Canis lupus familiaris: one gene and its partners. The protein of the gene in region 2 purifies or fractionates together with the protein of the main gene of each other region. This does not show direct contact. Links are inferred from orthologs where the notes say so. Each region holds a gene or a part of one and is shown on either strand. Other genes may lie near its edges.

What was found.
Region 1: the proteins of NUP62 (region 2) and NUP98 purify together in Homo sapiens (affinity purification with western blotting; 3 studies listed by BioGRID and IntAct, with this or other methods). This does not show direct contact. The link is inferred for Canis lupus familiaris from reciprocal best matches to the Homo sapiens genes NUP62 and NUP98.
Region 3: the proteins of NUP62 (region 2) and NUP88 purify together in Homo sapiens (co-immunoprecipitation; 4 studies listed by BioGRID and IntAct, counting the BioPlex papers as one, with this or other methods). This does not show direct contact. The link is inferred for Canis lupus familiaris from reciprocal best matches to the Homo sapiens genes NUP62 and NUP88.

What each region holds. Positions count from the first base shown.
Region 1 is NC_049242.1:26,465,430-26,470,033, reverse strand, and holds the start of NUP98 (nuclear pore complex protein Nup98-Nup96), read left to right. Parts: upstream 1-2,033; 5' UTR 2,034-2,192; intron 2,193-3,136; exon of another isoform or gene 3,137-3,155; intron 3,156-4,604. Other genes in the region: PGAP2 (post-GPI attachment to proteins factor 2), read right to left, coding at 1,590-1,678. UniProt on the Homo sapiens protein: Plays a role in the nuclear pore complex (NPC) assembly and/or maintenance. NUP98 and NUP96 are involved in the bidirectional transport across the NPC. May anchor NUP153 and TPR to the NPC.
Region 2 is NC_049222.1:107,310,637-107,315,240, reverse strand, and holds the start of NUP62 (nuclear pore glycoprotein p62), read right to left. Parts: upstream 2,949-4,604; 5' UTR 2,816-2,948; exon of another isoform or gene 2,598-2,815; intron 1-2,597. UniProt on the Homo sapiens protein: Essential component of the nuclear pore complex. The N-terminal is probably involved in nucleocytoplasmic transport.
Region 3 is NC_049226.1:31,570,324-31,574,927, reverse strand, and holds the start of NUP88 (nuclear pore complex protein Nup88), read right to left. Parts: upstream 3,165-4,604; 5' UTR 3,139-3,164; coding exon 2,848-3,138; intron 1-2,847. Other genes in the region: RPAIN (RPA-interacting protein), read left to right, coding at 3,411-3,674, 4,188-4,358. UniProt on the Homo sapiens protein: Component of nuclear pore complex.

The DNA of each region.
Region 1 (4,604 bases), on a different chromosome or scaffold from region 2:
TTATTCATTTTGAGAGAGTGTACACACATGCACATGAGCGGGGGAGGGTCGAGGGGGGCAGAGGAAGAGAGAATCTCAAGCAGGTTCAATGCTCAGTGTGGAGCCCTACACAGGACTCAATCTCATGACACTGAGATCATGACTTGAGCTGAAATCAAGAGTCAGATGCTTACCTGGCTGAGTTACCCAAATGCCTCAGGAATTCCTTGACATTTTTAAAGAATAGGAATAATTATTTTACAGACAAGAAAACAGGTTCAGGTGTTAAGAAATTTGCCCAAATTCACACAGGTAATAAATGGTTGGACTCAGATTTAAACCCAGGGTTCCCTGACTTAAAAGTCTCACACTTCTAAAAAAAAAAAAAAAAAGTCTCACACTTCTACTACTATTCTGCTTAAGACAATAATTCACTCATTCATGCATGAAACATTTAATGTGGACCTACACTGTAGGCCTGGCCTTAGGGATACCAGAATAGTTGTGTTTCAGGACTGAAGGATGAGAAATCAAAGTTTCAGTAGGTCTTTGAGGAAGGTACAGTAAACTATCCAGGGAGAACTAATGACTTTCTAATGTAGAACACAGGCAAGGGAGGGTGGAGGAAAGGAAGGGATGTTTGGATGCAGGAGTGGGGGGAAAGTGGCTGGAGTCAGATGTTTAAACTAGCTTTCCTATTTGAACATCTATATATTTATTTTTTCCTTCCTTTGAACACCAACTGAGCACCTACCAGATGTCTCCTATCCATTATCTTATTTCATCTTTACAACCATTCCGCTTCCTAACAAATTAGCCAATTTTTTCTAATTCCTTGCTACCATTGAACACTAAGAGGGATTTAAATTCATCTACTTTTGTGCAGAGCCCATTTCAGTCTTGTATTGATGTTCCAGGAGAAGGTGGTGGTGGAGAGTAGTCTGAATAGGTTTTGCTTTCTGAGCACAGTCCCTGCTATTCTGTGTCAGGACTCTCAGTTACTGGGTCTGGTTTCTAGAACATGCTCAACATTTCCCCTTGTAATACTTCTGTTTTGGACTAGGCCAGGGTGGGGAAGGGAAACCTTTATGAATAAAATGCCGCTGTGACCTTAAAGAGCCTGGGCACAGAAGACAGAAAAGTAAATAATAGGATACAAAGTGACAAAGCTGTAACAGAGGCCTGCCCAACCAAGCAGTAGCCCAACACTCTGAGACAGATCTGGGAATGTATCCCAGAGAAGGCGGGAACATTTGAACCAGGCCTTTAAGAATAAATAAGAGCTCCTAAAGTGCAGGTGGTTAAGAAGTTCCAAGAATACTCATTTGTAACATATCCTACCCTGAGCCATTCCCTTAGGGCATGCTCATAGCGTCTATTCTGGGGATTCAGAGAGGAAAGGTTGTGACGGGGCCGGCATAGGTTGGGAAACCAGGAGGCCAGGTTTTGGGGCCTCAGAGCAGCTGCAGGCGAGCTATGCGGAGAGACAGACCTCCCAGGAGGGCCCTCCAGCTCCGCACGTGGTCTGGCCAGGAAGTACGGGCAGGACTACGGGGAAGCCTTCCCATCACCGCCCGCGGACTGGGGCAACGAAAGGGTAGAATAGTTACCATGCCATCCTGGAGCCTCCCCTCTGATTGGCCCGAGCTTCAGCAGCCTGACTGTCTCGGCTCCAACGCGGGGGGCGGAGCCTCGGCATAGCGTCACCACCCTTCTCCCGCACCCCGCCCAGTGCACACCAACGCAGCCACTCACAAGCCCGCCTCGCGGGGGCCTTGTGTGACGTCACGACTCGCCCCAGCCAATCGCGGCAGAGGGGGCGGGACTCCCTGTCCCTCCCACCGTCCCTCCCATTTCCCCCCCGTAACTCCTCCCGTTCCTCCTCTTCCCCCTCGCTCCTTCTCCCGAAGACCGCCCTCACGTTCGGTTTCAAAAGACCAGTTGCCCAATGAGTCGCAGGGCGGGCCTAGAGTGGCGGGGGCGTCTGCCAATGCGCAGGCAGCGAGGGCGGAGCGCCCGGGGCGAGCCTGTGACGGTAGGCGGCGTGTGACGCAGTCGGGCCCTCTGCGCGCTGCGCCCGAAGCGGCGGTCGGTGGCGGCGGTGGTATCGGCGGCGACGGTTTCGTGGCGGCCGCGCGCTGCTCCCCGAGCGGCGGGTGGCGGACGGGCCTAGGCCTTCACTCCTGACACTTCCCTTCCCCCACCGCACCGCGGTAAGTGGAGAGCCCGGGCGGTGGCGGCCCCGGACCGACAGGCTCCTCCTCCCCTCTGGGCGGGCGGGTGCGCGGGGCGTCCCAGGCCCTCCGCGCCGAAGTCTCGCGCCCGGGCGCGCACCTTCTGCCCCGAGGGAGGGGGCGGGGCCCGCGACCCCGCGGCCCCGCGGCCCCGCGGCCCCGCGGCCCCGAGGCCCCGAGGCCCGGCTCTGCGGGCGCTGGGAGGGGACCGAGGTCCGGGGAGCCAGGGCCCCGGGGTCTCCCGTGGCAGCCTGCGCTCGGGGAGCGTCCATGTATCTGGTGGTACTCATTCATTTGCCTGGCGGTGATTAGGTGGGCGGGCCCTTTGCGGGGGCCGCGTCTTAGGACCCTGAATAGGATCTCCCCAGCGCTTGCTTGGTTGACGGTCGTTCGGGACGGGCTTTAATTTGCCTTGACGTCTCCACGGGGGAGATGTGCAGCCCGGCGTTTCGGATGGGTGGGTCGGGAGTTTGTTAAGCTTTTTAACACAAGATCTGAGAATTAAGATCGATCTAGTGGAGTAAAAGGTTATTTTCTGCCCTCCCACGTGTTTCGTGTAAAGCTAGAGGAGGAGAAAGGTGGGATTTCTGGATTACTGTAGCTTTGGGGAACCTTAGAAATTAAGCCAATCCCCCTATCGTACATCACGTGCGAGTTTTATAGGTGGAGGAACTGAGGTCCAAAGAAGGGACAGGATTAGGATTAGCCTGTACCAGATCCGCCTCAGTCTAGAAATTTTTCTACTGTATCACTCTCCCTGGGTGTTCCATCCTCCTATTATTGAAGGTTCAATTTGGAACCTTTGGGGGGAGGGGGGTGGGGGCTTCGGTATTTAGAAGCAGCCTTCAACAGCGTTTCTGCGTGGTTACCAGTTCTGTTCGTGTTAAGGCAGAAACTTCATCTGCGGGACCCTAACCTAAACCATGAGAATTAAAAAGTTGGGTAAGGAATGTCGGTGATGTAAATGTATTGGAAACAAATGGATAAGACTCCCATGTCTGGCTAATTTCCTATTCCAAATCTGAAATTATTTGTGTCAGCTGCTGGGGACTCAGGAGACAGAATCCACTTAGTGACTCATAAGAGTTTTGGAATAGAAAGCAGAAAATACAGACAAGACTTAGATAGGCAGCGGTAATTTTGTAGTTCTTGTACCTTGGAATTTATGGCTCCTTCCTGACAGAATTCAAAGTATTGTAGTGGGAAAAGGTGAGGAAATGAAACCTCTCTTTGGAAGCAGAAACTAACTGGAAGAAAAGAGCAGTGATCATCCCCTGTGACGACAGTCTTAGAAATTCAGCTTGTTAACTGGGAGACAGATGATCTATTCACTTGATGGAAGAAGTTAGGAGATTTAAAAAACAAAACCAGAACTGGGACAATTTGCAGGTACTGGGAAATACTTTGACAGAAAAAAAAAAATTTTTTTTTTTGACTCTTCATTAAGATTTGAGGAAATTGAGTTAAAAGTTGCCACTTTGGTCTGTTCACACTGGTCATATCACATGTTCTTGTTTAGATGACAAAGCAAAAACTGAAAACTAGTGTGTAAGAGCAGAAGAGAACGGTAGTCTAAACACAGAAATGTGAAGAGTATATTTTCTGTGACATTTTCTCAGTTCAAGCATCACCCTCTTCTGGGAAGCCTTTCCTGGCATTCTGTCTCCAGCAAGCTTCCATAACACTTATTTGATACTTCTATTTATAGCACACATCATTTTGTATTTTAGCTGTTTATCTTATTAGACTGTGGTAAAATATTTTTATCTTTTTAAAAAAATTATTTATTTATTTTAGAGAGGTGGAAAGAGAGAGAGAGGGAGAGGGAGAATCCAAGCAGACTCCCTGCTGGTGTGGAGCCTGACTTGGGGCTCAAGCTCACAAACCTGAAATAATGACCTGAGCGAAATCAAGAGTTAGATGCTTAACTAAGTCACCCAGGCACCCATTTCTTCTCTTTGTATTCAGATTGCTTGCCACCTAATAGGCGTTCAGTGTTTACTTGAAGGGATAAATAGGGAGCAGGGAGCAGCTAAACCTAAAAATTGTCTATTAAAAGACTGATTATATGTGTGTTCCTGAAATATGGGGCCTAGATAAGAGGACTTACACCGTTCATATGTTTCGTGGTACTTTGGTACCTGACTTTATTCATGTCTCTACTAGTTCCTAGATAGTTGAAATCAAGCTTTTAGGGAACCAAATTAACAGCTCGGAAGAAATTGAGTATATTATTTTATTGTGATATTTTTATTGTAGTAATTAACCTAGGAAGTAAGGGTTACTACTAATGTTTAATTTCCAACAGAGTGCACATCTGTGATTATGCAGTTTGTTGAAAGGTTAGGGGCGGTCTAAGACATTTTTGGAGATTTAACAATATAGATATTA
Region 2 (4,604 bases):
AGAAAGTCTGAGAAACTGCTGCAGACCAGAGGAGGCTAAGGAGACACGATGATTAAATGTGATATGGCATCCTGGAACAAAAAAACAGCATTAAGAACAACTAGCGAGGGGTGCCTGGGTGGCTCAGTTGGTTAAGCATCTGCCTTCTGCTCAGGTCATGATCCCAAGGTCCTGGAATCAAGCCCTGGGTAGGGCTCCTTGCTCAGTGGGGAGCCTGCTTCTCCCTCTGCTGTTCCCCCTGCCTGTGCTCTCTAAAGTAAATATCTACAAAAACAAAAACAACTAGTGAAATCAGAATATCAAAATGAGGTGTGCACTTTAAAATCCCATACCGACGTGGGTTCTTTAGTTGTGACAAATATATCACAGAAATGTTAAAGAGGTCAACAACAGGGAAAATGGATGTGGGGTATATGGAAACTCTCCGCACTATGTTTGTAACTTTTCTGTAAAAATAAAAAAAAATTTTTTTTAAAGATTTTTAATTTATTTATTCATGACCAACACACACACACACAGAGGAAGAGACACAGGCAGAGGGAGAAGCAGGCTCCATGCAGGAAGCCCGACGTGGGTCTCGATCCTGGGTCTCCAGGATCACACCTCGGGCTGAAGGCAGTGCTAAACCGCTGGGGCACTGGAGCTGCCCAAAAATAAAATTATTCTAAAATAAAAATTTACTTAAATTGCCTAGTCCATGTGTACATACTAGATGTTTTTAGAAGACTTAAGATTTGGGGGGGCAGAAAGGAGGACTAATCTAAATGCTTGACCTGAATTATGAATTAACTCATTGAATCCTTGTGACAGTACTAAGTAGGCACTACTTATTATTATTATTATTATTATTTAAGATTTTATTTATCCATTCATGAGAGACACCGGGAAAGGCAGAGACACACGCAGAGGGAGAAGCAGGCTCCATATGCTGGGAGCCCAATGTGGGACTCGATCCCAGGTCTCCAGGAACAGGCAGGCCCTGAGCTGAAGGTGGCGCTAAACCGCTGAGCCACCCAGGCTGCCTGGCACTATTTCTTTAAGTAAACTCTACTTCTGATGTGGGGCTCAAACTCACAACCTGAAGATCAAGAGTCACACGCCTGAGCCAGCCAGGCACCCCAGAAGTAAGCACTGTTAGCTGCCACATGTATCGCTAAGTTTCTATATGGAGTTAATAGAAACGTAGCGATAAAATAATGTAGCCACCATCACAGGTCTGAGATTTGAACGTAGTGGAAACCGAGGCACAGGGAAAAAAAGAAATTGACAGTAAGCTAATAAGTGGAGTAGAGACAAGGTCTGAACCCAAAACTGGGCGCCAGAGTCTGCACTTAACTGCTACTCATGCTGCCTAGGTAATAACCTAGCCCCTATAGGTCAAATCTTCAAATACTGGCACAGTACACAGTAAGTGCTCTAAGTGAAAGTGGTCAGATCCCAAGAAGGACTTCCTGCATGCAACTGAAGCCTGCTATCTTCATTCCCAAATAAGTCTCAAGATCAGAGTTCCCCCACCTTCTCTGGACCTCAGAACCACCACCCGTGATGTTAAGTTGAACTCTAGGTGTCCTGCTGTGGACAGATGCAAGGTGGGAAGTAAAGACCCATACCCACTTGGGCCAGTGGAGGGTCTAGTGCATAGGAGGGAATGGCCAGGAAGCCCCCTCTCTTTTAGCAAAGGGCAGTGCAGATCTCCCTATTTTGGGGCAGGGTTGGTAAACTGATCCAGTGGGGGGCAGCTGAAGCAGAACCAACTGGCCTGAAAGGAGGGCTAAGGATAAGGGCTGATGGGAGGTGGGCAGAGGATGGAGAAAAGCTACAGTCAGGGTGATGATGCCTGCTTCTCTGCAACTGTGCTGGTGTTGCGGGTGAGCGTCCATCATCTGGAACAGGGAAAGGTGGGGATGTCTGGCAATTACTGACACCTTGAAGAAGTGAAGAAGACACAAGAATGACCTACTAGCAGCTATTGTATGGTCAAATGTCTGGGGATCTTGCCAGGGCAGGAGGTATGGTTGAGACTCAACCCCAGAGTTCCTATTAAAAATAAGATACATTAAATAGGCAATTAAGAGCCGGGCTCTGGGTTTCACAGGCATCGACTTGATTCTCATCAGGCAGAGTTGATTATTTTCTTCATTTTACAGGCAGTTCTCGATCTACGAGACTAGAGAACTTGATTATTTGGCCACCATCGCAGGTCTGAGATTTGAACGGCGCGCGCGGTCTCATTGTGACTCAGACAAGAGTCTAACCCACAAAAAGGGTTCTTAGCGTGGGGCGGCAGTTTGGGGATAGGAGTCCAGCATGTGGCTGGCCGGAAATTCGAGAACTAGGGCAAAAGAAACCAAAAGTGAACTAGGGCAGGTCTCAGAGAAGGCGAGGGATCGAATCCCTAGAATTGGGGGGGAGGGGACCTGAGTCAGAGAGACAGAGAACAGGACCCCAGAGTTGGAAGGAGGACGGGGGCCGGAACCCCTGGGGTAGGAAGACGGAGCTGGTCCCCGGGTCAGAGGAAGGAAAAGGCCTAACTCCGCGTCGGGAGGAGGAGGGGAGTGGATTCCAGGATTCCCGAGAGGAGAGGCCAGGCCCGCCTCCCGGTTGGGGCCTGGCGGGGCGGGGCGCGGATGGATCCGGGGAGGCCGTGCTGCGCCATCCCCTGTATATCTGTCCCCACTCCCCGGGGCCGCCTCATTCCCCATCCACAGATCACAATCTCCTCTCAGGCTACCGAGACGCCATCTCCGCCCGCCCAACCCCGGCTATGGCTCTGTAGCCGCGACCCCTCCGTGTCCCGGCCCGTTTCCGCGCTCACCGCGCTTGCGCTCTTCTCTACCGCCTTCTTTTCTTCAGCTGAGGCTGCCGCCGCCTCTCCTTTCCGTAGCCATGGAGTGAGTAACCGCTCGCCCCTCCCTCTCCAACCGCCTTTCCCGCCCTTTCGAAGCTCGCGGCCTTCACGACCAGGCCTGGGGGGTGGGGAGACGAGAGTGAGGAATCACGGTCGCGCAGGCGCAGAAGAGGGAAACGCGTCGTTGGCACGCGGCCGAGCATGCGCATTCGGTCCAGTGGGGGAAGGGTACGTTCTTCCCTAGAATGCTGGAGTTTAAAGATGGCCTGCACGCAGTGCGCCTGCGCACTAGCCCCGAGCGGGGGTCGCCCCCCGCTCCCCGAATGAGTCTGTCCGCGAGCGGTTGCTCACGTGCACAAGCCCACCAGACTCCGTATTTTTTGAGTGAAGGGCGGGCAGTAAGCAGCTGCACATGCGCACTGACTCCCCAACCCCGCAGGCCTGAGAGAACAATTGGATCAGTGGCAGAGCATGCGCTTTAGCCCTGCGAGAGAGGCGTGTGGCTCCGCCGGCCGGCTCCCGTCTCCGAGCTCCACCTTGCTCATGCGCACAACACAATTTATGTTTCATTCGGGCACCTGCTGGGGCGGGGTTGGGTGGGGCTGACTCAGATTGACAGGGCGGAAGGCGAGGCTTAGAGGCCACCTGTAAGGAGGGGGGTGGAGCTAGGATCAGCGGCTGCGACGGGTGGGCGGGGGTCTATCGTGAGAAGGGGCGTGGTTAAGCAAATTTACCTGGGGTGGGGTTTCAACGGAGAGAAGGCGGGGCCTCTGGGGTATCCCCGGGAATGAAGTGGGGGGCTAAGGTAATTGGACGGGAAGGGACTGGGGCGGTCACCGCGAAGCTAAAAAGAAGCCGTGGGACTTAGTAGACCACGGTTTGGAGGGGCAGGGCTGGGGGAATTCCCCTGGGAGCTGATTTTTTTTTTTTTAATTTTTATTTATGATAGTCACACAGAGAGAGGCAGAAACACAGGCAGAGGGAGAAGCAGGCTCCATGCACCAGGAGCCCGACGTGGGATTCGATCCCGGGTCTCCAGGATCGCGCCCTGGGCCAAAGGCAGGCGCTAAACCGCTGCGCCACCCAGGGATCCCTGGGAGCTGATTTTTGAGCCGAGTGTTTAGATGGGATGGAGCCTAAAGGAAATACTTTAGAGGAAGGGGTGTGGCTGGAAGAAAATTCTCCTGGGATTGAAATTTTTTTTAAAAGATTTTATTTATTTATTCATAAGAATACACAGAGAGGAGAGAGAGAGAGGCAGAGACACAGGCAGAAGGAGAAGCAGGCCCCATGCAGGGAGCCCGACGTGGGACTTGATCCCGAGTCTCCAGGATCAGGCCCTGGGCTGAAGGCGGCGCTAAACCGCTGAGCCACCCGGGCTGCCCTGATTTTTTTTTTTTTTAATGAAGTGTAATTTTGTGAGGTGGGAGGGAAGGGCTTAAGGAAATTCCCCTGGGAGACCATTAGGTTTTTGTATAGGAAGGAACAGGGCTTGGGAATTCTAAAGAAAAGTAAGTGGGGCCCAAAGAGGGGCACCTGGGTGGCTCAGTGGAGAAGTATCTGCCTTTGGCTCAGGTGGTGTGATCCCAGAGTCCTGGGACAAGTTCTGCATTGGGCTCTCCAGGGGGAGCCTGCTTCTCCCTCTGCCTATGTCTCTGCCTGGCTCTGTGTATCTCATGGATTTAAAAAAAAAGAAAGAAAGAAAAGAAAGAAAAGAGAAAAGAGAGAGAGAAAGAAAGAAAAGAAAAGAAAAGAG
Region 3 (4,604 bases), on a different chromosome or scaffold from region 2:
ATAATTTCCCTTTCCATGACTGAACTCCAGTCCGCCCCCGACAGCCTCCACACACCACCAGGCCAGCTGTGTCTCCACAAAGCCATCACACTCTGTGAGCCTGTGTCTCTCGACAGCTCTTCCTTCTCCTTTTGTGGCTGGCTGTCATGGTCCGGGAGACGGCCTAAGCAATCACCCAGATCTTCCAGCCAGGTGTGCGTGCATCTTCTGTACACTCTGGATCATTCTATCATGGTTCTTACCACCTTGCATTCTGGTCATCCCTTCAGTTGACCATCCTGCACAACTGTGATGCGTCTTCCTCTCTCACCCTCAGCATAGTATGTAGCATCCTGCTGACTCTCAATAAGTTTTAGTGAAGCGAGTAGTGAAGAACTCAGAAGTGTTCATAAATGGCAGCTGAGATGCTACATTAGAAACAGCTCAGTTGGGGATCCCTGGGTGGCTCAGCAGTTTGGCACCTGCCTTCGGCCCAGAGTGTGATCCTGGAGTCCCAGGATTGAGTTCCGCATCGGGCTCCCTGCATGGAACCTGCTTCTCCCTCTGCCTGTGTCTCTGCCTGTGTCTCTCATGAGTAAATAAATAAAATCTTGGAAAAAAAAAAAAAGGAAAAAAGAAACAGCCCAGCAGGACAGGGAACAGCCTCAAGAGCTTCTGCGGCCAGTGAAACGCTGCTGTACCCACGTAGCTGCTCCATGGAGTGGTGGCGTTTTCAGGGGTTCTGATAAGCCGCTTTCTCAGCGTTACCAGCCCTCGGAACAACGTACTTCTCACAGGCTTGTCCTGCTTCTCTCCTGACCACCACATCACCATCTTCTGTCTTTTCCACTTTCCCCAACACACCACAAGACAGCCAACGTATCTCATCCTCACCCTCAGCCAGGATCTTTTTAGATAAGACCATTCTGAACACCCTGAGATCTCTGCTGCTTGTCACCGAGCTCTGTAAGCCTACCCTTCACCTGTTCCTTTTTTTTGTTTTTTTAAGAGTTTATTTATTCATGAGAGACAGAGAGAGAGAGGCAGAGACACAGGCAGAGGGAGAAGCAGGCTCCATGCAGGGAGCCCAATCTGGGACTCGATCCCAGGACCGCGGGATCACAACCTGAGCCAAAGACAGATGCTCAACTGTTGAGCCACTCAGGTGACTGTCCCTTCACCCATTCCAACCAAAAGGTTGTTCTCCCATAAGAGGTTCTTTTTTTCCCCTGGCTTCTCAATCCCCATCCTCTCCTGCTTTATTTACAACCCAAACAGCTGAGATCAAGTGTGGTAATTACAGGGCTTAGGTGGTTTTGTTTCTAAAGTCACTATTCTTTTGTTATTATTTAAAATTGCAACTCCTGCTAAGCACTTTCCCACCTGACAGTCCTTTAGGATTTCCTGAGAGCACCCAGTGAAGGAGGGGGAATACAAAAATAACAAAGAAAGACAGCCCCTGCCCCCCGCCATGGTTACAGGGTAGAAAAGAAGACAAGTATGAATCAATTTAGTCTTGCCTGCTCCAAATGCTGCTAACAGGGTGTGCTGAACATGAGAATTACTCTCCTAAGCCACAATTTGACAGAAAGTAGATTGTTGACTTGTGACCTGTTTTCAAAACTGCAGAAACACAGCTAGCAAAAGCCGATCATTTCTCATTTACAAGATTCGGCAAGTGGCTCACAACAGACGCCCTGCATTAGGATGGGGGGTGGGGGCACCTTTTTATCTTTTAGTCCTTTAAAAGGCCAGAATCCATTTATTACAAGTACACATTTCCTTACAAGTACACATTTCCTTAGAACAACGTTCCGCTGCAGCAAGTCTGGAATGCTTTCTGTCTACACCGCTTTCAGATGCTAGCAGCTAATCAAAAACAAGCAAAACTGGGGGCACCTGATAAATAAAACCTACACACACACACAGACACACACAAAACACTGCCTTCAGCTCAGAGCATGATCCCAGAGTCCCGGGATCGAGTCCCACATTGGGCTCCCTGCATGGGGCCTATTTCTCTGTCTCTCTCTCTCTTTCTCTCTCTCCCCCTGTCTCTCATGAATGAATGAATGAATGAATAAATAAATAAGTAAATAAATAAAATCTTTAAAAAACAAAAACAAACCTGGGGGCACCCGGGTGGCTCAGTGGTTGAGCATCTGCCTCGGGTTCAGGACGTGACCCGAGGTCCTGGGATTGAGCCCCACATCTAGCTCCCCGCAGGGAGCCTGCTTCTCCATCTCTCTCTCTCTCTCTCTCTCTCTCTCTCATAAATAAATAAATAAATAAGTAAATAAGTAAATAAGTAAGTAAGTAAATAAATAAATTCTTTAAAAAGAAAAACAAAGATTGTCTCCCAATTTTGGGAATGGGCTCATTTTCCAGAAAGGAAAAGAAAGAATTACCAGGGATTCCTGGTCCACGTCAGGCACAAAACTGGAGACTGGTCGCTTTCAGATCTCCCACCTGACTGCTGCTCACACCAACCCCAGGAGAGTCAGGACTGTCCCTGCGATCCGCGGGTTTCTCAGAACCCACCTCCTACGGTCTGTCTCCGCTCACCTGTTTTCCTTCCAAGTACCCGCACTGCTGGCTTTCCCACGGTCCCTCCCCTCCCCCGGGCCCCCCAAGAACCGCAGCACCCCGAGAGCGTGCGGGAGGCGGCAAACCTCTGACGAAGGAACGAAACCCGGGAGAGGCTGCCAAAGTGGCCATGAGGAGGACGGAAGCAAGAGGACAAGAGGCAACTTCCGCCCGAACCGGCCGCCCCAGAGGACGAGCGCTGACACCGGCGTCGCACACCTGCGGGGCACCCGTGCTGGGCACACCCGCGCCCTCCGCTGCCGGCCCCCGGTGAGGCCCTACCTGGTACTGGGACAAGGAGGGCTCGTCGCCCGCGCCGCCCAGGCCTCGCAGGCGGACCACCAGGAAAGCGCTGCCGTCGCCGTCCCACAGGAAGAGATCGCCGCCCAGGCCCAAGACAAGGTTCCTCGTCAGCGGCGGCGGCGACGAGGGCGACGGCGAAGACGCCGGCTTCTCAGCCTCGGCCGGGCCGTGGGTCTTCAGCCCCTCGCGGAGCCGCAGGAACACGACGTGGTTGGGAAGCCAGGACTGCCACGGCTCCCCATCACCCGTGGGCCCTTCGGCGGCTGCCATCTTGGCCCCACTGCGCGCGTCCCCCCAGTGACAACGCGCGCCGCGGGGCACAGCCAATCGGCGGCCGGCGGGCCGCGCTCCGGCCAATCAGCGAGCGGAACGCCCGGACGCACGCGGCCCGCGGAGGGGAGGGCCGCCAATCAGGCGGGGGCGGCGCTGCGGGAAGGCCAGCCCTCGGAGCGCAGCCGGAGACCTGCGTCTCTGATTGCCGCTCGGACACTAGTCTAAGCCTAGACGCACCTCCCTTAGTCCAGGTTGGGTTGACCTCACAAATGCCACCGCGGCCACGCATCCTCGGGGTCGCCCCAGTCCGTCTCCGTGCGGGGCTGGCAGATGGGACGGCCGTTCCCAGAACGCCCCGCGGGCGCGCGCGAGGAGAGCCCGCAAACTACAATTCCCAGGGTCCTGCGCGCCCTCGGGGGGCGCGGCTTCCTGGCGGCGACGCTTGCAGAGAGATGGCCGAGGCGCCGGGCTCCGGGCGCCGCTCGCTGTACAAGGCGGTGGGCTCGCCGCGGTGGAAGGACGCCTTCCGGCAGGTGGGCGTGGGCTCCGGGGAGCCTTGGCTGGGCTGCCGTCACTGCCCTGATCCGCCCGGGCAACCGCCGTGCCGCGGGCCGGAGAGGCAGGTGCCGGAGCGCCGGGCCCAGTGGACCGGGAGCGGGACCGGGCGGGGACCGGGATGAGCTAGGCTGGACCTGCACCGGGCCGGGCGCCCCGGAACCTCTGGGCTCTGCGTGCGGGGCCCCACACGCCGCGAGTGCACCTGCGCGCCCCCCGCGCCACCTCCTGGGGGGCGGGGTTGAGGGAGGGGCGCAGGGCGGGGCGTTGGGGGGAGTGTACGGGGGGCGGTGCTGGGGGGACGACGCTGGGCTTCCACAGAGGAAATGCTGTCTCTTTCTGCCCCCTGCCCCCCCAGCGTCCCAGTACCAGATCATGACCTGAGCCGAAGGCAGATGCTTCACCGACAGAGCCACCCAGGCACTCTAAGAATTTTTATTATTATTATTATTATTTTTTAGCCAACTCACTTCCGTCTTTCTCCTTCCCAGGGATGCCTGGAGAGAATGAGAAACAGTCGGGACAGGCTGCTGAACAGATACCGCCAGGCTGGAGGCAGTGTGCCGAGGAGAGCTCAGAGCACCCTTCTGGTGCAAGAAGTGATGGAAGAAGAGTGGCATGCTCTGCAGTCCATGGAGCGCTGCCCAGAAGCCTTGAGTCAGGTCAGGCTGGGATCCGTGTTTCAGGGAGGGTGCTACAGCACCAGCAGTGCCCAGGGTCCTCTCTGTACCTCTCTCCTCAAGTCCTCCGAACCCACCCACCCTCCAGCGTCCAGTCAGGATTCCAACCACCTTTGATGCAGGCTCTTCAACCTTTAAAGTTACACTCTTCTAGGGGCAGCCCGGGTGGCTCAGCAGTTTAGCGCCTGCCTTCAGCCCAGGGTGTGATCCTGGAGACCCAGGATCGAG